Linked DNA regions of Lepisosteus oculatus. Each later gene encodes a partner of the first gene's protein in a complex. Links are inferred from orthologs where the notes say so. Each region holds a gene or a part of one and is shown in the gene's direction. Other genes may lie near its edges.

What was found. The genes of interacting proteins can lie anywhere in the genome.
Region 2: the proteins of nts (region 1) and ntsr1 are in contact, whole or in part, in a crystal structure (PDB 4BUO), measured with the Rattus norvegicus proteins. The link is inferred for Lepisosteus oculatus from reciprocal best matches to the Homo sapiens genes NTS and NTSR1. Residues at the interface, in NP_001095851.1 of Rattus norvegicus: Arg157, Arg158, Pro159, Tyr160, Ile161, Leu162; in NP_001102437.1 of Rattus norvegicus: Ser53, Asp54, Leu55, Asp56, Asn58, Phe128, His132, His133, Tyr146, Met208, Val224, Cys225, Thr226, Pro227, Ile238, Arg327, Arg328, Phe331, Cys332, Tyr333, Ile334, Ser335, Asp336, Trp339, Phe344, Tyr347, His348, Tyr351.
Region 3: the proteins of nts (region 1) and sortilin are in contact, whole or in part, in a crystal structure (PDB 4PO7), measured with the Homo sapiens proteins. The link is inferred for Lepisosteus oculatus from reciprocal best matches to the Homo sapiens genes NTS and SORT1. Residues at the interface, in NP_006174.1 of Homo sapiens: Leu152, Tyr153, Glu154, Asn155, Pro160, Tyr161, Ile162, Leu163; in NP_002950.3 of Homo sapiens: Val112, Ser113, Leu114, Ser115, Trp116, Lys260, Tyr304, Ser305, Phe306, Gly307, Leu308, Phe314, Ser316, Arg325, Ile327, Phe350, Tyr351, Ser352, Ile353, Tyr395, Gly399, Thr570, Gly571, Leu572, Ala573, Trp586, Trp597.

The regions. Positions count from the first base shown.
Region 1 is NC_090702.1:18,135,965-18,143,729, reverse strand, and holds the start of nts (neurotensin/neuromedin N), read left to right. Parts: upstream 1-4,712; 5' UTR 4,713-4,807; coding exon 4,808-4,868; intron 4,869-7,765. Other genes in the region: rassf9 (ras association domain-containing protein 9), read right to left, coding at 87-133. UniProt on the Homo sapiens protein: Neurotensin may play an endocrine or paracrine role in the regulation of fat metabolism. It causes contraction of smooth muscle.
Region 2 is NC_090711.1:3,524,775-3,532,479, reverse strand, and holds the start of ntsr1 (neurotensin receptor type 1), read left to right. Parts: upstream 1-4,607; 5' UTR 4,608-4,873; coding exon 4,874-5,545; intron 5,546-7,705. UniProt on the Homo sapiens protein: G-protein coupled receptor for the tridecapeptide neurotensin (NTS). Signaling is effected via G proteins that activate a phosphatidylinositol-calcium second messenger system.
Region 3 is NC_090700.1:39,850,119-39,857,199, reverse strand, and holds the start of sortilin, read left to right. Parts: upstream 1-3,983; 5' UTR 3,984-4,227; coding exon 4,228-4,503; intron 4,504-7,081. Other genes in the region: psma5 (proteasome subunit alpha type-5), read left to right, coding at 641-727, 1,875-1,952.

The DNA.
Region 1 (7,765 bases):
TCAAGTTCAATAATTAGCTGCGTTAAAGTACAATAGTGAAGCGGTCAATAGTTCAATAAAGGGAAAAATTCGAAGGAATAAATTACCTATTTTTCAGGCGCGCTTTTAAGAAATTCCTTCCAAAGGGAGCCATGGTAACTTGAAAGACTACAAAAATCCCAGGAGATGTTAAACAAGGAGCATGATTTGACTGTAGCCCTTACAGTTCATAGCAGCGAAAGACTAGACTGAAGGTGGGGGCGGACTTGAACTGTTAACTTTGTTCTCTCTTTGGTTTAGTTGTACTTGAGTAGCCCGTCCCATTCCTACACTGAAGGTGGCGTTATGCAAAAAAAAATCTTTCGAATTAGTACACTACAGCCCTCGTACATCCTTGTTTAACCTGTTCTTCAAATACATAGTATAGTCATAAAAAAGTATTGATCCATAAAAATGGACTGTGGAGACAAGGACTATGTAATAACATGGATATCTTTATTAAAAGCCTTAAAGATAATCACATACTGTACAAATAATCACTGCCACGTTGCCACGTTCAAAACAAGGTAGAAATGCAGTACTATAAGAAACACAAAGGTATGGATGTATGTAACATCAGCCCATTTTGATAAAGATTTCACCAAGGCAAGCGAAATGGATGAGAATATTAGTAAAAAACAATCAATTGCTCTTATTGATTTTTAAGAATTTATCATCGTCAAGCATTTGTTATCATTCTCATCATTGGAAAGTATTTTAATATGAGAAATCAAACTTTTACTAAAACTTTAGAATATTCAAAGTCCAAAGAATTTTGTGAATTTATGTTTTGGACTTTGAATAACAATTTACTTTTTTCTTTGCATGGAATTTGGAGGCAGCTGATCTGCAACACTTGAGGGCAATCATGTTTACATCTTTTATGCATTTATTTACATACATGATGAAGTCATTATTTATTTATTTGCTTAGCAGACACCCTTATTCATTCAGTGATAATTTCAATTTTAAGTTTTAGAGCAAAATCTGAATGACAGAAAATCATCGTCTTCTTCTACGCTGTTCTTTTGAATTTACATGTGTTCTGCATTCGTATTTGAGTGTTCATGCATGCGTTAGTATGGGTTTTGCTCGGGTAATCCGGTTTCCTTCCACATTCCAAACACACTCTCCCAAAGTTAATTATATAATAAACATGATTATGATATAATAATTAGTATTTAGTAATTGCCCTCTGAGCTATGCAATGAGCACTTGTCATGTCCGGTCTGTGCTATGACTTTGCGACCTGTGCCTGAAGGGTTGGCTCTCCTTCTAGTATTGACAGACTATAACACGTGTAAGAAGACAATATGTTGTGAATATTAGTCAAACGTAACTTATTCTATAAATCTTCTTGAAAATATGTTTTATTATTTGTCTTCATGTGTTATTTTCTGCACCAAAACATAATTTTGACATTTATAAGGGTTGGCAAGTTATTTTATCAGAGCCGTGAATTATACTAGCCTAAACAGATTAAATGTGTGATCGTTTATCCAACTATTTACTTTGCATGTAAATACATGAATATTTTCCCTTGGATTTCTAAAATCTTGCATCAAGTGGTGCATACGTAATCGTCTGTTAGTGTTCAACGTGCAGTTTTAGATTTCAACGGCACCTCATACAAGTACAGTATTTAGAAATCCTCAGACATTGACAAAGTCAGTCAAACAAAAGAAACATGGTGGAAGTGCATCAAAAATGAAGAACAGAAGGTAGATCTTTACCCAAAGAATTGTAGGAGCATGGCTGAAGCCATGTTGTTAAAGCCAATACCCTGGAATAGCCGGATGAGATAATTGGATCAATTAAATACCAATGTACCAAATGGTCTAGATGGGCCGTAAGACTACCTTTTCGTTTGTAACCTTTCTTATGATCTTAAGAACAAACATTATATGCCGTGGCTCAGGAAGGCCCAACAGACATCTAGAACGCGTGTTCATTTTATTGCGACTGAAATATTTGATCAAGTGTTTTAAAAAATTGCTGGCATTTTTATACCGTACATACTGTAATTCATTTCTGAATGCCAACATTTAGAAAAAACAAACCGTTGCACGGATTTCCAAGTGGTGGCACAAAAGAGTCAAATTCTGTACACCCTTTTGAAACGCTGATCAACATAAAAAAAAACGTCTTTGTTAGTAGTAACCACCTTGAACAGCAAAGCACTCCTGTTTTATAACTTAACGTTAACAAGTTCTCTTCACTGCCTCTAATCAGATCAGTACACATGACATATTTTATTGGACAACTGAGAAAAAAATATATCGTGATACGATCGTATGTATTTGATAAAATCACATTATTAAATTAACAGATTATAATGTAAAACTTTAAATAAGGAAAATTGTCTTTCACTAGCTTGTTCCAATTTTGCAATGATACAATTGGTAGTGTTAATTCATCCTCTGAAATTCTAACATACAGAATATAAAGGAACAGATATTGCACAATAGCTTTATCTTCTTTTCCTTATGTTTGAAGTTAATCTAGACATTCACCATCCTCTTAAATCCGTTGCGTTAATGTCAAACTACAGTAGATGAACATGTAAACGTAACCATTTGCTCAAGGGAGACGACCAGTGGGTATCTTGTTACCTGCAATAGTTAATGTCAGGTGTCATATAATTATTTTAAATATGAAACAAATTATTATTTTATCTCGTAGTGTATCTATATCGTACAAATTTGTTTATTATTGGTGACAATTAAAGATACATGTTTTTTTCATTGACAAGTAAGCCCAGATAGTAAGGCTATTCAGAAGTGAATAACCCATAGGGAGTTACTATAATAGAAGTTCTGTCTTAATTTATGTAAGTGATTTCAGATTTTAGCACAATAAAAATATACTAAAAAGAGAAAAATGACACGTTTTATTAATCCCAGTAAATAAAATATGCAGTTGCAGTACTTCTGCAGAATCTATTCTTTCATTTAGTTTCACAGTCTGCTCTTAACACAACATGCCCACTACCAGTATGAGAAAACTGGAAGCCTGATATTCTTGGCACCAGATGAATTTGGGCTGAACCTGAGATGGGTTCTCTTGGTATTGCATACAATTAAACACAATCATGAGTTCTAGAAAGTGGAATACTATTGTTTGATCATTGACAAGGCTGTGTGAAATAGAGTCATCTTGCACTTGCTCTTGGTCTTGTTTTTGGCATACCCTAACTGTACATTTTTTAAATAAAGTTTAAATAAAGTTCTGGTCATAAAAACCTTTTTGTAGAGAAATGCTGAAATGTTAGCATTAAATATACTATATAATAGAAGGGATATATATGGCAAATTATTAAAATTTGCATAAATATCTGCATTATACATGAAAGATATGAAAATGCTGTCCAATGCCTGCTCTCTACATTTTACTGAGATCTTTACTGAACTTATACAGCATTATACCTCATACAAAGCACTGCACTCTGCCAATACTAACCTGTGACAATAAAATAAGTATACTTTCATTCTCTACTATTACATTTGATGTTCATTCTAATATTAGCTTTTAGGTTCCAATATTTTGTGACTCTTATCTTAAATATATTAAGAGTATAGAAGTGGCATTTTTTTAAAAACTGTAAATCCTACAGTACACTCATCCTTAACATTAAAGAATACATTTAGATACAATATACATTTCAAGTAATAGACTTAAAAATACTGTAATTCACCAACTTACCCAAGACATTCAGTGGAGATTCCACGAAACATAATGCATAGAAATGTAAACTCCATCATAATTTTTGCAACACTGTTGAAAGTTTCTTAAAGGCTTTTAAGACGGCTGATTAAGGAGATTTTAGGGTAGTGAAAAGGGGCTATTCACATATTTCTTACAAGTCCTGTAACACTACCTGTGCTTATACTGTAAGTAGTTTTTTTTATAGTTTTTATCAGTATACAGTAATTATACTATATACAGTATCAGATATTGTGCATATACTGTATAACTATAAACATATAAGATGTTTGAATCATTCTACATTCTGTAGCATACAGTACAGTTAAACACAACCAGGAGCTTGTGGGACATGCAGCCCCTTTATAGAATTCTTTATATTCCCAAATGTGTATTTACCCTTGTGACTGCTTCATGTATCTCTCTTCTTTTCCATGCTGTTTTAAACCCTTCTTTCACACAGAACTAACAAGGTGTATATTTCAATGATCATGGCAAGATTTGGCAAGAAGCAAAATGGTGCTTTTCTTGCTTATGTTTCTTAATGACCAGCTAGACAAAATTTATAATCTATCCTTAGCATTGCATGCAAATTGTTGAAATGCTTCCTTTTTGTCAGTCAATAAGATTCTCCCAAATGATTAATGATCTAAGGCAGACATTGATTGAACATTGAGTGAGTAGTAGCTAGCATTGTGTCTTCTCTTTTTCACATTCTTGTGAGAAATTTAAAAAAATGTTGTTACATTTCCACAGAAAGATCACATATAGTTAGATTTTAAAAAAATTAATTGATTTAAATTTCATAATGATATTAATTTCAGTTATCAAAGGGCAGATCTGCCTGCTTATCCAATAGACAATGCGCAATACATTTAATGAATGACGCCTTTCTTGAATTTGGGTAGTACAGTAGAGGGGGTGGAGTGTCTTCATGACATCATGCAGCTGCCTATATACTGAGTGAATGGAATCCTGAGCTCCTTATTCTGCACCCAAGCACAAGGAGAGTGTTTTAGTTCTCTCCTGATCCTTTCCATATGGACTTCATCATTATTTAGACAGAAAATAACTTGGAGTTCACACGATGAGATTTCAACTTATTTGTCTGGTGCTCCTCTTTGCGGCTTCTGATGGGATGTGCTCAGGTGGGTGTCACTAATTTATTTACTGCAGCAGGAAAAGGCTACACAGGCAAGATTTACAGTAGGTGTCTGATCTGAGATAATATAAAAACAGTGTTTTCTTTTATCAGTGTTAATATTCTGAGATTTTAAGCTTTTAAATGTGTTTTTTTTATTGTGTGTCTTGATGTGTACCATCACTACCACTATTGCTACTGATGCTACTACTTGTTCTTCAAACATTACAAGTAGTTGTGATTGTCATTATCATCTGTGGGAATCTACATTTCACCATAACTTTCCCTATAAATCCTTGGTTATGTAAAACACTTTGTCTTTGCTATTTTCTCTTACTTTTATCAAATATTTATAGTTAATAATAATAAAACACTAGAAACAGATTAGCAAACAAGACTAGGTTCAGTTGCAATGCAATGTAATGTAATGTAAAACAAATAACTGAAAGAATATTACATTTACATAAAAAGATTAAGAAAAACATTAGTCTGAAATGACTTCAAAGAACGTTTTTTTTTTTCATCTAAACAATGCAGTACATAAAATTACTTTTCCTTAACAAATAGACTCATCTAGAGTCTATTTGTCTATATTGGTCTATTCATTTAAATAGACCAATATTATTTTTAGCATGTGAAAACAATATTTAATGTTGTACAAATCTAAAAACAAATCTCTGCTATTAATCAGGTCTCACATTTGCTATATTTATACTTTATATTGCAGGGTAGGATGAACACAGAAGAGAGTGTATTGCTTTTGCACATTAAGTCTCTTTGGATTTTGTTTTTACACTGATATAAAAACTTTGTTATGGAAACTGGTCTTTCCAAAGTATTGAAGAAAGTAACATGGAATACACATACGGAAACCTTAATAATAAAGGATGAATCCACTAAAGACATATTATAATGGTAGAATTATTTCACGAGAAATAATTTGAGAAAAATTAAAAAAAGCTGAAAAAATAATTTAAAATGTTGAGTTTTCTGGAAAACTATTATTTTTAAGTTAAATTTAAATACAAAACGTTCAACTCTTAATAAGAAAACAATGTGATGTGTGTCGTAGAAGTATGAAAATTATTTTTAACAATGCGACATTAAGAAAAAATACATTGAAGTGTATAATGCTGCAAAATAAATGTGAAAATGTGCTTATAAAGATCTCAATGAATTCTGCTGTTAAATTAAAGTAGTTATTTTTTTCAGTTCAAGTTACATTATGTTATGAAGTGAAATTAGTCACATAAATGCTTATCAAAATCCTTCAAATTGTTGCATGATCAAAAGTAATTTCTGATTTCTGAAGACATGTTTCTACCAAAAAAAAAGATCAAAAACGATTATCACTAGGAGACATATATTCCTGAATTGCCTATTTTAATGTGTAATACATAAATCATTAGAATAATGGTTTTTACATACAGATATCAGTACTGTAAGTGCTGATATCTCAAAATTTGATTGGCTCCCTCATGCTTTCACCTTTCTTGTGAACCTCATATTTGCTGTTTATTTTCTGCTATTTTCAAAACTAAATCAAACCTTCGACATCAACACAACTACCAATATTCTAAATTACAACAGCTATCCATCCATTCATTTTCTAACCTTTTTTTTCAATACAGGGTTGTGAGGGAGCTGGCGCCTATTCTGGCAAGAAATGGAAACAAGGCAGGATACACCCTGGGCAGGACACCAGTCTATGACAGGACAAACACACACCAGAGCCAATTTGCCCATAAACCAATTAATCTACCAGTATATCTTTGAACTGTGGAAGGAAACTGGAGCACCCAGAGCAAACCCATATAAACACATAGAACATCCCAGGAATCGAACCCAGGACCCCAGCACTGCTAGGCAGCAATGCTAATCACTCCACTACCATGCCACCCACATCAGATATCCTAGAATCCAATTTTAGAACACATATTGGATTGATTTATTAAAAGTACATAACTTGGAACTATGGAAATAATTTAAAATAATGACTACGAGTCACTTTTATAATGAATGAAATAAGGAAGAAACACTATATAATGAATTAAATATCTCTGTTAGAAATTATACATATCAAATGATCACTAAATCCCCCAAATTCGTAATGAATACTAAGTGAATTGTGTAGTGAACAAAATGTTATATTGAAGTATAAAAGTATTTTATTTCTGTATTACGTTTGTTAAGAAAAAGATATTTGATAGCCAAGTTAAGAGTGCCTCTAATTTGTCTCTCTTAATATTACTTCAAATTCAATCACCAACTGTTAAGAATTCCAAGGGACCAAAGGATGTTTTGGGCTATTGTTATGGCCCTTGCTCAAGCACTTCAAACATTTTTGTTAAAAGCTCTACTTTTTTTATATACTATTTTTTTCTTTGTCCTGTTGTTTCAACATTACATTAAATGGGGCAAAACAATTATGGCATTTTGTTTCCCGTTAAACAGGTAAATTATAATTAAGGGAAAATATTATATTGCTGAAACATTTCACCATTCTTGATAAAAAGATCATAGAAAAATCATAATATTTATTTCTTATCACGGTCTAAATCATGAAGTTTTACTTAGGGTAGGTTTACTAAGTAAACGCATAAAATTAGTGACTAGTGGCTTGTTTGTTTCCTAGTAGCTAATTGATCCAAAGATCTTATCCAGCAGTTCATTGAAAGAAGCCAGGATATCAAGGCTGTGCAGTTTGTTCCTCACTCCCACAGTCCTTATCTGAGTTTCAACTTGCAGTGAATTATCCTGGACATGATGGGAAAAAGACTAATGACATGTACAGTATTAATGATAACATTTGTAAGTTTCAGACCAGTAATATTTTTAGCATGGTTTGTCCCCATCCAGCATTCAATTAGTTGTTTCTAAGGTATCTCACAGTAACATAAAAGC
Region 2 (7,705 bases), on another chromosome or scaffold:
TTGACTGTATGTCAAAAAGACTTGGACCATGGAATATAATAGTAACAATCCCACAATGCTGCATTCTTTGAATTGTTCTTTTATACAGTAAGCGCTTGGTAAGTCAAATTAAATAAATCAAGCTCTCCTTTCTCTCCCATTACATTGATTGTTCTGTGGCATTAAATGTCTGCAAACCTGTAAAAAGCTTAGCGTTTGGTGAGTGAATTCCAGTTACTCTTGCTGTCATAATCTGAACACCCTCAGCAGTAGAGGTGCACAGAACTGAAACGACAAACAACACGAAATATTGAATAAACTGAAAAGATGTCAATACAGCTCAAGTTTTGTTTAGCAGCACACATTGCTGCCTTTGATTCATGACACCTGCTGAAATCTCAAAATGACTAAATGAGGCAGCTGATCATAAGTAACTCCACCCAGACCTTTGTGGCAAACCTGGTGCTGTAGCTTTCAACGTGCTCATGCTGAGCACCCTCTGCTGTGTGCACACCACACAGCGGGGGTCGTGGGGCCGGACTGAACTCGGATCAAAACAATTCTCATTCGGCAGGCTTTGACCCTCAGGGCAAACGGGTCACCACGAGGAACACACTCCCCCGGGGCTGTGGAGGACTGCGCCCAGCCTCATGCTGCTGAGTGAGTGAAGCCGGGGCTGGCCAGCGCAGCATCCTCAGGAGGGCGCTGTGACCGTGCGGCGTTCCTCGGGGTCACACTGGTGAACCCGACCAAATTCTTCAGTGCCAGGGCGCGTGGTTTTCTCGATAGGGCTGCTGGAATAGCGTCAACCAGCTCCTTCATCATTCGTAGCAGCGGCCTCACCACCCAAGCAGCCGGCCATGAGGGGTCCAGACATGGACCCAGACACTGTCGCCTCGAACCTGGGTCACAACAGACAGAGCCGGTTTACCCGGCCAGTACAGATTCCAAAATGATGGAGGGGCCAGGGAGGGAGAATTCTAAAGTAGAGAATCATTGAGGCATTTAATGTCAAATAAATGGATGTAAATTGCTCGCCCTCTGATATGTCTTCTGACTCATCTGGCTGTGCCTGGAGTACCGTAATTACTGTAGCCACCGGGGCTGGGAAGGCCGGGGGACAGGCCTGACAGATTAACGAAGCAGTGAAACCCTTTGACGTACGGAGTATAAATGGTATCAAACACGGGTGAAGCGATGACTCATTCGTTTTTTTCCCCATCCTTGACTGGACGCTGGAACACTGCTGCTTTCAACTCACTGACAGCCTACTGTGGGCGGTTAGACAATAAAAAATAAATATTATAACCCCCACCCCCCCCCCAAGGTCTTTTTTGTTCCTGTTCTGCTGTATTTCACACTTTGGTTTGTCCTATTCCCATGAGCATCCCGAAAGCTAACCTAGAATTCCTAACCAGCTCCGGAATACCGGAATATAGTACGGCCTCGTTGTGAGAGAGAAAGCCAGGAGCCGATGGACCACTGCAAGCCGAGAACTCAGGTGTCAAGACACCTTTTCCTTTTCAGTTCTAAGAAAACTGGTTCAGCTCAATCTAATACCCCCGTTGATTCAGTTCGAGAGCGGTACTCACTTGACTTGCTGTGGTTGGGCTGCAGACACCAGAGAGCTTGTGTTTGAGGCGTGTTAACAAGTTCATTTCACAGCCGTCGGAGTGATGGGCATTTTAGGTACACCACTTGAAGTGTGACTTTTTTTTCTGGTACTGGATTCCAGTGCTTATTTCCGATCACATGGTTTCCATTAATTCCTTTTGGGAGGAGATTCAGTTAATTACAACCACAAAACTGGTCTGATCACCAACCACGATGACCAAAGTTAGTTGCTCCTGTATTCAGGTCTCAACGGGACAGATGTGGTTGTCATTAGGTGACACTGGTGACTCATCCCAGTTTGACTCGCATTTCATTCCGCTAATGATCAAATTTAACCCCTGGCACGCATGTTGTTTTATTGTTGCACTTCTACCACTGTCTGAACATGAGATCTTCCAACACATAATGTCAGCACAATATTATACGTATGGTATCCCAATGGTGCAGTTTCAGTGACAATTCCAATGGCTTGCAGAAGTCATTGAAGATCCATACCGCATTGAATTCTGTCTCATAATTTACAAACAACAAAAAAAGGACTAAATATGACGTAACAGGAGAAAATGATACATGAAGAAAACACACCTGAAGCCATATGCCCAGTTCAGTAAAGGAAGAATCACTTATTTATCAATGTTTATAGGCAGATGCAGCTCACCTGTGCCACCAGACCACTCCTGCAACCCGTCACCTCAAAATGACGAATGTGTCCGTGTTCAGTTTCTCAGAATACACTTCTCAGCGAGCTAACTCACGGCGAGTTTTACACCGGGTCCTGTTCTGGCTGCAAGCTAGTGGCAGGTTAGGGCCCCTGGACCCCGACTGGAAAGCTGTGGGCTCGAATCCTGGGTGGGCTCCAGCTGTTGCATCCTGGGAGAAGGACGTCTCTCCAGCTTCCCCAGCCGAAGGCTTGACTGTATCGGTGGGTTAGCTAGAGCAATGGCCATCACAATGTACTTACTAAATTACTACTAATTCTAGTAAATAAATTCCTTAAAATGAAGCCACTTAGGTGTCTTAAATGATTAGTACTGTATTAAATCCCCTTGCTTAGTGTCCTAACATATCCCAGCTGACCCTGTGCTAATTTTGTGTCTGTGACTAAATACACTGGGTAAAGAAAGATACTGCCTTTTAGATTGGGCATTTCCCAATATCATAAATCATTGATTTTGCAATAAATATACTTACCAAAACAATTGTGGGAAAGTAGTGGACAAGATGGGAGAGACCAAAGCACTGATGTAATTTGTGGGAAACACACTGACAAAGTGTCAAATCCTTCATCTACCCTTCCTGTTTCAGGGGAATGTTTATTGAATCGGAACATTTTCCATTCGTTTCTTTTTAGGCTCTATTTAAAAAAAAACAGGGCTCATGTTAAATACACCACCAGGCAACTCCCAGCTGTGGGTGGCCCTGTGCTAGAAACTTTCTTTGCAAACCACCAGGATGGGGGAAGGAACGGGAACAGAGATCAGATCATGACAGAAGAGCCATTTGCTCATGCTACTGAAACTCGAGCACTAGAGCCGGTGAGTGCTCACACGCGCATTCAAACCCCACGTTCGGGGATGAAAGCCGTTCCCATCTTCACACATCAAGAGCATTTACATCAGCCTAGACGTCCTCAGGCATGCTGGAGCACTTATTCCAGCTTGGCAGGACCTGCTGGACTGGAAGATGCTCTCAACTCGTTGTCCCTCCTGTGGGGGGTGCCGAGAACTCACTTCTACCGCCTCCTTCTCGGCGCGCAAAGGAGAGAAATTCTGCGCGCCGCGTCCGAGATGGACAGGCAGGGTTTTCTGAAGAACAGCTGGTTGTGACCACGAGTGTGTCCTTTTCAATTCGGTATTGAAAGACAATCCCGGGAGAGCCAGGGTATTGAAAACAGGCGAATGGCTGTTTGTGTGTGTGTGTCAAGGATGAGTTTTATAATTCACGCACGCTGTTCTCTAGAAAGTGGGGCAGGACAGGTATTACAGTTGCTATGGCTAATTAGCAAGCAGTGAGGACGCTCAGCCTGAGCACGGCAGCATTCTTCCACATACCCTCAAACGGTTAAACCACATCAATCCTAAAGAGTGCTCTTCGGCTTTTAAACCGCAGAGAACAAGGTTTCGACTCTTAACTATGGGTGCTGCAAAAGGAGGTTGTGTAGAAATGATCACATTGTCATTTTTCTCCCCGGGTATGGGCGTTAAAGAAAAAAAGCGTACAAGGCCGGAATGTGAAATTTTGTAACAGTGGTTTTACTTTCAATTCAGACTTGAACACTCAAATAGTAGAGATGCTTATTTGCTGTATCGGTTAAGCCCAGATGTCCGGGGTATTGCTGGTTTGAGTCTGGACAGTCAGCCAGCAGTGAGAGGGATTTTTCAGAAAAATTTATTCGAATTCCGCTTGCAGGGTTATCGTCGATTTAGGGCAAACGGGCACGTCTGTGACTCGCCTGGCACCTCTCATTCTGGGTGCGAATCGGCGCTCACTGTCTCGTAGACCCTGTAAGACTCACAAAGTCAAAAGAAGGACGATAGACGCCGAAAAAAAGGCACACCTCCCGAGGAACAAAACTGAGCTCTGCGGGTGATGTTTTAAAGTATCCTTGTTGTTACAAAAACACAAATGTTATTATCCTTTTGTTACTTGGGAAAACGTGAGTTTAAATACAAATATGAACAAGAAAGCTAAGATGCCGTTGATAAGACAGATCTGAGGCAGACGCAACACTGTGTCGCCAAGTAGTAATATTGTCCTCTGTTCGCATTCGTTTCTCCAAGTACGCATTACTAATTATAGCTTTCAGGTTGAAAAAAAAAACTCATCGTTGTTCACCAGAAAGACAGGGTTTCATCTTTAGATCAGCATCGATGCAACAAATGGACAGTAAATAACAGTATGTACCTAAAGTATAAGAAACCGCCCTGCATATAGAATCGTTGTCGTTTAACATTTAATTTTTAAAGGTGTTTGCGATTCTTTGGGGGGGGGGAGGGGGGTGTATCTGAGGAAACCTGGTTATATAAAACAGGGAAACGATCAGACTTCATGAATGAAGTGGTTTGCGTCAGTGCCCGAGGTCTGAGCAGAGAGGCAGCGCGCCTCCTCCTCCGCCAGATAAAAAGCCAACTTCTGGGGGAGCGGCGCTCTGGGCTGCGCTGAACACCGCCGAGCGCTCCCTGCCTCTCTCCGCGCCGTCCGCCCCGCGTTCCCCGGGAAAAAAAGGGAGGAGGAGGAGGAGGAGAAGCAGAAGAAGAAAAAGAAGTTGCCCGGCCACACAATGGACGAGACCTCCACGCTGCTGGGCCGAAACTTCTCCCGGGACTTCCAGATGCTCAGCCAGTACCTGCTGGCGGCGGCCGGGAACGCCTCGCGCCCGGCGAACGCGACGCCCGGGGAGCACGAGGAGGACAGCCTGGACGTCAGCACGGACATCTACTCCAAGGCTCTGGTCACCGCCATTTACATCGCCCTGTTCGTCGTCGGCTCCCTGGGCAACTCCATCACGCTGTACACCCTGGTCAGGAGGAAGACCTTGCAGAACCTCCAGAGCACGGTGCATTACCACCTGGCCAGCCTGGCGGTGTCCGACATCCTCATCCTGCTCCTCTGCATGCCCATAGAGCTGTACAACTTCATCTGGGTCCACTACCCGTGGGCTTTTGGGGGAGCCGTTTGCAAAGGGTATTACTTCTTGAGAGACGGCTGCTCCTACGCCACGGCGCTCAACATCGCCAGCCTCAGCGTGGAGAGGTACATGGCCATCTGCCACCCCTTCAAGGCCAAAAGCATCATGTCCAGGAGCAGAACAAAAAAGCTGATCAGCGCTATCTGGGTGGCGTCGTTTCTCCTGGCGACCCCCATGCTGTTCACCATGGGCCAGACTTACACCAACAACGTTCAAATCTGCACCACCATAGTCTCCACGCACACGGCCAAGATCGTCCTGCAGGTGAGTGAAAGGGACTTCGCGACAAGACAAGAAACCCCCCAAAACAAAAAAGCGCTTTTCTCGCACCCGAGCCACCAGCTCAGCTCCGGGCGAATCGAGTGGAGAAACACGGTGGCGCGTAAAAACAGTCGGTCGACTGTCCTAAACCTGTTCTGTAACATTCATAACACAGTTACGTAGTATTTGGGTAGTGTTATTAAACTCTAACAACGATAATAAGTCATAAGTAGAGTCGGTAAGACATTTTTTAAACATTATCCCGCGCCAAGGACTACCTGTTGCTTGTTTAACTTTTACCACATCTTTAAAAAAATAAAACGATCGTCAGAAAACGCCGGCATGTACCGTTAACGTTGCGGGCAGCAGGAACGGCCCCAGCGGAACCGCACGACTCCCGGGCCCAGCCGCTGAGGCAGTGCGGCCGGCACTGCGCCACTTCCACACGGCCCGGACTCGACAGACTTGGAGAGAGCTCCGTCGCTCTGTTCAGTACGGGTGTCCTTTAAACAACCCGGTAAGAGTAAAAAAAAAAAAGTCCAGATTTATAGAAAAGACATGAAGCAGATCTGGACTGTCTGAATCCAACAGAAACACACAGATACCTCAGTACTTGACACTTATTCTCCCCACCAAGACACGCTCTACGTGACGTTTACTGTTTAAAACGAAACGGAAGAATGTGCTCAATGGGTATAATTAATGTCATTACAGTCGAGAGTGCTTCAATTACACCTGCCTGCGCCGCGGTTTCTGGTGGTACAGTACATGTCGTGTATCGCGCTGTGTGATGGAGGAAACTGGTAAAAAAATAAAATAATCATTCTTCTTTAATACATAGAACAAGTCGTGTGGTCTTGTAATATATGGAAAAAATAGATTGGCTTACTTAAGAAATATTTATGCACCGTTGTTAGTTTTAGGTTTGGTTTTCTGTTTTCTAAAACGACCCTTAGAAGTCACCTAAAATTTGAAAGATAAAAATGTCCAGTCGTTATTTTTAAATATGTTCACTTCTCGTCGTACAGGAGATTTTCCCCATTCTAACAGGAATAATATTTACCCTTGACAGATCACACCTTCTGTATAAATTATCGCAAAATGTTGGTCCCGAAAATGAAAAAAACAACAAAAAAACAACACAATTAATGCTACTGTAAGTGCGTCGAAACTGTGCTGTTAGAAGACACAGCCATCCAGCCCTGCGCAGCACAGAGCGCACTTCAGGAATGTTCTCCGGCTGGGTCACGTCGTGGACATTAGAACTACCGATTATGCGTTACAATTGCCCAGAAAGCAATAGCCACAACAATAAAACATAATATATTACAATAGATTTTACCCTGTGCAATAAGCAATATTCACAAATGCGTTCTTGCTCACAAAGTCATCCCATCACAGTGCGTGGTATGGGATACATTGCACTTTGCACACACGGGCTGGGAGCATTTCAATTACATCCACGATGTCAGAGTGTTCTGATGAGATTGTTTTGACAGATATACACCTTAACCCTGACGTGGCAGTAGGAGCTTGGCTCTGCTGTGCGGCCACCAGAGATTCAGAGTTTGGACCGCCTGAAGTCTGCAATACAGTGGAGGCTGAGCTCGAAGCAGCATTCTTCCCCATTTTAAAACCCACACTCTGTGTGCAGGAGAGGGAAAGCAGACAGCCCGCTTGGCTCGGCTGTATTTTTCATGGGGAATGTTGGAATTGTGTTCCTGCGCAGGGAGAGATCTCCAAAGGAAAAGATGAGGTTGTCTAGGTGACAAGATCTGCGTTTCTGTTGAGCCGATGCAGGCAGGCAGCGAAATACTGTACCTTTGAAATGTTTCCAATTTCACAAGTGCTTCACTGCTGTGTTTTAATGCTCAGCGTGTAAGAAATGTAAAAGCAGAACAGCAGTGTAGAGGGTAAAATCAACTCACAGAAGAGTTTTAGAAGCCCTGTAACACAGGCATTGCAGCACCCAGGGGGTAGACTGCCAAATCGCTTTCAAAAACCTCTTATCCAGTACAGGGTCGCGGAAAAGCCAGAGCCTATCACAGGAAGCAACGGGCACAGGGCAGGGTACACCCTGGGTTGCACGCCAGTCTATCCCACGGCACACACACTCACACCAGGGCCAGTTTTCCCAGAAGCCAATTAAACTACCCAGCAACA
Region 3 (7,081 bases), on another chromosome or scaffold:
ACACCCTTAATTTTGCACGCTTCTCGATCTTTTGGCTAAGATCAAGTGTATTAGTTTCTTAATTGATACATGACTTACGGGAGTTACAAAAGCTTCTGATTTGTACAAACAAGTGACTTGAGGTGGCTACACGACTGGGATCTCCCCTGGTCTGGAGTCTGGCCTTTGCTGCCAGGGAATAGCTGTCTTCTGTCTGTGCAGCAGGGATGGTGTTGTAACAGCCCCCAGACCGCTGTCCTGCCCGGGATGAGTGTAGCTGTAACATCCAGGGAGCAGAGCTCAACCTTCAACAGCCCCGCAGCTGGGATTGATACCGCTCAACGAGACAGGCGGGCTCAGTCTCCTGGTACTGCCCCTCGTCAGTCTGCAGTCATGGGTGTCGCTGCGGCCTAGCATCCTGTCAGACTAGTGCGTTTACATCACATGCCTGTCATTAGAAACAGCATCTGACTCTTGCCTTGTTGTGCAGTGAATGGATAATCTCATTTTGATATTCAAGAACAAAATTTCCTTGTTTTTTCTTTTTTCTCCCCTTCCAAGAGATTGTGGAACAAGCAGAAGCAATGCAAATATCAGGATGAAAACCTGAAGCCCACAAATGTTGATCTTTTTGTGTTGTTTCATAAATTGTTTTTTCCAGTCGATGACTTTAAAAGATGCCATCAAATCTTCGCTCACCATCCTGAAGCAGGTCATGGAGGAAAAACTGAATGCAACAAACATAGAGGTAGATGATCTTCATTTCCTGATGATTTTTTACCCCCTGTATATCACTCTTTCCCTTCCAACATCCCTGAGATCCATCTTGTTCACAGATCCAGCCAGTTGCAGACAAATGCATTGACTTCCACCCAGTAGTCTCACAAGCCCAACAGCAGCTCAGGGGAGACCTGTAATATTTCTGGCCTCCTGTCCTGAAAGCCCTGTGCCCTGATGGTGGTTTTCTTTACCTTGTTGATCCCCGCCCGGTATGAAGTGCTGGGTTTATAAGATTGTAGTTACTGTCAGGCAGGTTGCAGTTTTTTTATCGGGGTTCACGTTTTTCAGGCCTTTAGTGGAATTGAATCCATGGTGTTTTAACATCTTCAGGTTTAACTTTGCATTTAATGCAGTCTAAAGTGATTTCAGCTGTTAGTTACATATTTGTTACATCAAGGACAGAGTACTGGGGAAGTGAGTCTAAGTTTTTTTATATTTGCTTCTGCTGAAGCAGCTTATTTAAGACCTTTAATTACTTCTTAATAGAGCCCACTGCTTTTGAAAGCCAGACACGTCTTCCCCGTTTATCTGCTTTGGAAGCTCAATGGAAATGAGAGGAAAGAAATGGAGGGACGCAGGACTCCACCTGCTAGGTTGAACGTGTTGTGCAGCCCAGTGTGTGCAGCTTTGTGATCTGTGACTCTGTATGAGTGATGGAGTACTAAACCTACCTCTCAGGATTGTGCGATATGTGAGAATCCTCCCCTGCTGCTGCTATTACCAAGTAGTGTTGATTATAACAAGTACTGTTGTGTTTGGCAGGCAGTTTCATCCCAGGAGACCTCCAGTAGAGCAAGCTACCTAATAAAATAGAATACAGCTTACAAAAATAGCGCTTGTTGTAGGAGGCAAAAAGCTATGAAATAGCGCGTACACAGTGTGTCCTAAAGAACATGCCTCACATTGCAGTTACTATTAGCAAAACTGACAGAAGCTCCAAACACACTTGGGACTGTCCAGAATGGATAATTACAGTTTTCTAAGAAATGCCTTCTGCGTGCACAAATGCATTTTGTCCCAGAGGGATATCAGGACTTTGGCCACATCATGTGGGCTTGTGGTTGGGGCTGTTTGGGCAGTCATCATAAGTATTAATATTGTTTTCTCTCCGACAGCTTGCTACAGTAGAGCCTGGGAAGACATTTCACATGTACACGAAAGAAGAGCTAGAAGAGGTTATTAAAGATATTTAAAGTCCAGCAAGCTGGCACTGACGGATTTTTAGTAGATCTGACTCCCACAACAGTCGAGCACACCAGACGTTCCTGGATTGCGGTGCAAGAGATGGTAACCAATGCCTTTTTAGCTCTCCTGAGACGCACACACAGTAATGCGGTTTCAGTGAATAAGCAGGAATCTACTGTTTGTATTTTTTTTTCTTCCTTTCTTTTGTGATTTTTACAAGTCTGTACATAATACAGCACAACATGAGAACTGGGACTAAAGGCAAAAAAAGGGGTGATGTGTAATTTTTGTTACAACTTGACTCAATAAATCTGTTGTATTCCAAAACATATCGCATACGTGACTCCTGGTCTGTTCCTTTGCAAGTCAGAGCACAATGTGTGAACACATTGGGTGATCTGGCAACTGTGTTGTCTTTGCATATCTGGACCTATCTGATAGACCTGCAAGAATTAAATATTTTATAATTCAGTCAGTATAATTGCCCAATTGTTTGATTCTGATAGATTGAAATGGACCTTTGTCCTTACCTTATTTATTTGATGTGGCACATTAGGAAAATACTGTACTACTTTGAGCCACTAAAAAATGTCTTTAGTGTTGCGAATCATTTTGTTTGCTGCACAAGGCCACCTACAGAGGAGATTTACTACCTCTCGTTAGAAGTTCCTGGTAGGTTAGTTTTTCAGTCTTTCAGTTTTCTGCCAAAAGTGCAACTGATGTGGACCAAAAGTTTGGCAGCACTACTGCTCATCCTGTCAAGAGTTTGGAAGGTCTCTGGGCCGCTGCCTGGTACAAACGTGGTACAAAATGTTCTGGGCTGAAAGGGCACACTGGGCGCTGGGTCCAAATGCATTGTTGCACAAAACCTCTACTAAAAAAATCCAGGTGGGAATTAAAGTGCTAGGAAAACGCAGTACAGTTAATCCGTCTTGTCCGTGTTCGTCCTGAGCTATGAAGTGAAGTTCTAAAGTGTATAACTTATTTTACTGCTGAACTGACCCGTCTGCAGTAGCGTTTACTTACCCGCCCGTGGACTGGCATGAAGCTGGCGCGGAGCGGAGCTGTAAGTGTTGAAACCCGCGCCCTGTGCGGCCACTATTGAGTAATTTAAGATATGCCGTTATTAAGTACCGTCGTTTTCTTCAGTTGCTTCGGCAGTCTCGATATTTTTCATGTCAGAGATTGACGCGACTGTGCAGAACAATAATGCATCATTATTTTAACAGTAATTCTGCAAGATCTGTCTGGCTGCTCGGTCACGTGACAGAAACCACAGCAGTAACGTACCACTAATTGCAATAAAGAGTTCCGAGGCGCTGCAGTTCAAGACCCATTCATAAAATGTACAAAGTTTAGGAAGTGTCTTAATTTTATTTTCCATACATCGGAGCAGTTTAACTTGGATGTCGTATGCTTTTACGACACATTTAGTCGCAACTCTGCAGATACGGTATACATCTAAATACTTTTTTAATCATTAAACCTCAGAGAATAAGTAGAAGCACTTGTTTGTGTCTGTTGTACTGTTATTGTGTGCTGGTCTCCGGTTTCAGAAACTCATCTAGTTAACACCCGTAGAGTAAGACTTGATGTTACCGCGGATGGGAAAAGCAAATTATATGTCTGAGCCACACTGCCTCTGACGCTGTCACAAATATCACGTTACTTAATCAAAATCACACACTTGCAATGTGATCTTTCGCAGGAGATGGGGGCATCGCATAGCCGCCAACCAACCTTGACTGCATTTTTAATTGTTGACAGTGAAGTTCGGGGATCACATTTCTTTCCTGATCCCTGTCGAGTGTAGCCAATGAGGAAAAAAAAGAATCCTCCGGCCGAGAGACGTCAACCAATGGGAACCACGTTGATAGGCAGATTTGCGGAGTGGGCGTGGCCTCTCAGCTGTTCAACGAGGTGGGGTTGAATCCACCAATGAGATAAATCACTCCCAAGTCCAAGGGCTGTACGTGTGATCGATAGCTGAATAGAGCCAATCAGCACCGGCGTTCAGCGTCAAAGCAGCCAATCGCTTAGCCGTCTGGGGGAGGTAGGTGGTGTGAAGTGAATCTCCACCCTCAAAGCCGCTTAACTCCTATGTGCTGTTTGGTGCTTGGATATCGCTTGCTGCTGGCTTAGTGGGTTGTGCGTGTTTACATTACCTTTGTGGTTTGAGAGGGACCGCTCGCAAAAACCGGCCTGGCATTTATGGACGTTTTTTTTAAATAAAAAAACATATATATTTTCAAGCGCTTTCGCTCCCTCGCCTTCCCGTGAACGATGCGCCTCCCGATCCCCCGCAGCCGCTGCGTGGTGTTCTTCCTGTTCCCACTGGCGCTGTGCGTGGATTTCCGCGACAGAGCCAGCCGCGGGGTGCAGTCCACGTTCGTCAAGACCGGGAGGCTGGAGGATGTCTTCAGCTTCCCCTGGCCGTCGAGCGCGGAGTCGCCCGGGGGCTCCGGGCAGCACAGGGTGAGCCGGAGGAGCGCGGACAAAGCCGACAGCTGCAGAGCCCTCCAAGGATACGAGTCCAGGCTGGGCAGCAACACGCACACCGTGAGTAGACGACGGCTCCGGCTGCTTGGCTGTCCCCTACCCCCGTGCCCGCTGGAGGCTCGGGGGGGGCATGCTTGGATTCACAGCCGACGCGCACGGTGTTGGTCCGGGGTCCCAGCTGCCTGGCCGGGCTCCGAGCTCGGCGCCGGGGAACGGAACGTCCTGGTACTCTCCCTTCCAGAGAAAACACTTCTCCGTCCTGTTGTTCTTGTACTCCAGCCTCCTCAGGCATTTCCTTAAACCGGGGACTAGTAGGGTTAGCCCAGCCAAGCGCCTCTCCGCAGCCTGCCCTCTGTTTTGTTTCTCGCCGAGGTGCGTGTCATCTCAGTTCTCTCGTTTCACGGCGCGACACTAGTAGTCGTAGCAACGTCAATATTCTGCTCTCTGGAGTGCAATGCAAAACAAAACCAAAAAAAAAAAGAGCGGTGTTATAACACTAAAATGATCCCGTCTCGCCCAGTGGGTAGCTCCATCCTTGATTGTGTTTGCAGGTTCGCCCCCCGGCGGTTCAAGGTGCGCTTAACCTTAAATTCAAGCGCTTGCAAATGAGGTATTCAGTTCCCGCTGTGCAATTCGCACTTTAAATTCCAGATGCTTTATGTTTCCGTTTCTTTTTTGTTGTTGTTGTTGTTCATGCATATGGAGATGCGGTGTCGCTTGTTTTTGAAGTGTCCCGACACCATCAACGGATAGGGGAACAGAAGTGATACGGTAACCTTTAATAATTTATCTAGAGGCGGTGTTCTCGCAGGTGGCCCCGTATCCACAGACGAGCCAGGTCTCGGTGTGCCGCCGGGGTTGTCAGTGTGTCAGTACCGTGGTCTGGCTCGGCTCCGTCCCGAATCTTGAACTGTGTCGGGGGGAGTCGGCGATCGCCGGATGTTCAGTCCCGGGGGTGGAGTGGGAGAGACGGATGTTAACTGGGAAGGACGCAGCGGGCACGGGAGATTTAAGGGGCCAAGTGTAATTGACACGCCGCGCCACTCGCCGAGAGGTAAAACTCTTGGCCCGCCCGTGTGTGGCAGTGACCGGCTCTGCTGCCTGTGAGGGCAGGGCAGGGAGAAAGCTATAGCCCGGCTTGTTTGCCCCCACACCTCGCTGTGAAAGTGTGTGTGTGGCTATAGGCGCTGCTGTATTCGAGTGGGATATTAATGGAAACGTTTTAGGAGCGGAAGCGCTGTCGACCACAGCACAGTACGTCTTTATAAATGTGTAATATATGCAAAACGTTCGCTATTCCCACGACACTCTATTTCACAATTGCAGCACCGACCTGAGTTGCTTCGGTTTGCAGTAATTGTTATTCTTAATGGGCTTTAAGTTTCGAGGGTCCTTACTGACACTGATGTGTTGTGATGCATTGAAACGGAGTCCTGCCCTGCTGGAAAATGTTGGGGATCCCTGCGCTATACCGAGAAGCCCTGCCGCTCTCTGGTCAGTAAATAGGACAGCACCTTCCTAACAGACAGGCCCCTGAGTGTCAGCCAGGATTATTACCTGACTTGCTGGTTTTGGTGACCAGGTGAGTGTACGTATGATTTCATACGTGTGACCTTGTGGTATAAACAGCAGCTGACTGCAAACCGGGGCTGAAGACAGGGTTTAGGTGTCTTTAAACCACAACCACCCACAAATCGGATCATACTGAACACCTCGCTCGAAGGTACAGCTGAACCCTGTCCAGAGGGGAGAGCTTTCCAGTTAAGAGCCCCGGGCTGTGACCACCACCCAGCGCCCTCTCCATTCCTCCGCTTCCTGCCTGGTGGGAACTGATCTGCTGAGGCACTCGTTAGAGGCTGACGAGAACTCGGGAGAAATCAAAATAACACTTTTGATGGCGTTCCTGCGGGGTCAGACTTTTGGCTTCGCTCACGGGAACAATCACAAGACCTAGACCTGACTATCCCACAAATTTCAGAGAAACGAAAGCTTGAGGATTAACAGCCTGCTTCTCGTGAACAAAGACGGCGCTTGAAGCAGCCTGTTCTCTTGAGCACGAGGGGCTGTTCATGGCCTGGGCGTGAGTGAGGTCCGAGCCCGGCGAGATTTCGGGGGCGTGTAGAAACGAGACCCCCAGCTTCGACTCCCCTGCGGCTTCCTTTGCTTCCCCGGCTCCTCCGGTGAGGTGGGCTGGTTCAGGGAGCAAGCCGGCGTGTTGCTTCGCCGTGTCCTCCCGGCACCAGCCCGCAGTGAGACGCTGGTCCTCGGCACTGGGCTGCGACAGGCTGTGCACTGTTGGACAGGGACAGGAATAGAACGGAGCCTGACAGTCAGGCGCTCGAGACACAGCAGTGCTCTGGGCTGCCTTTGGCTCCGAGTTCGCTCAGCCCTGGGTAATGGGGTTGGTGCTGGGCACTGTCACAGGCAAACAGCGGTGGAGCTTATAATCCTGTCCCGACGCTGTGACGTGTGTGGTCAGCCTAGTGATTCCATCTGATATCCCCTGGTCTTGACGCGCAGAGCCCAGTCAAGTCCGCTGCTCTTGTGCGCAGAAAGATGCAGGCTGTAGCCATCCAGCGGTGTGACGGTTTTTGCGTTTTGAAACGCATCTTGCGTATTGTTTCTAGCTGTTGTCCGA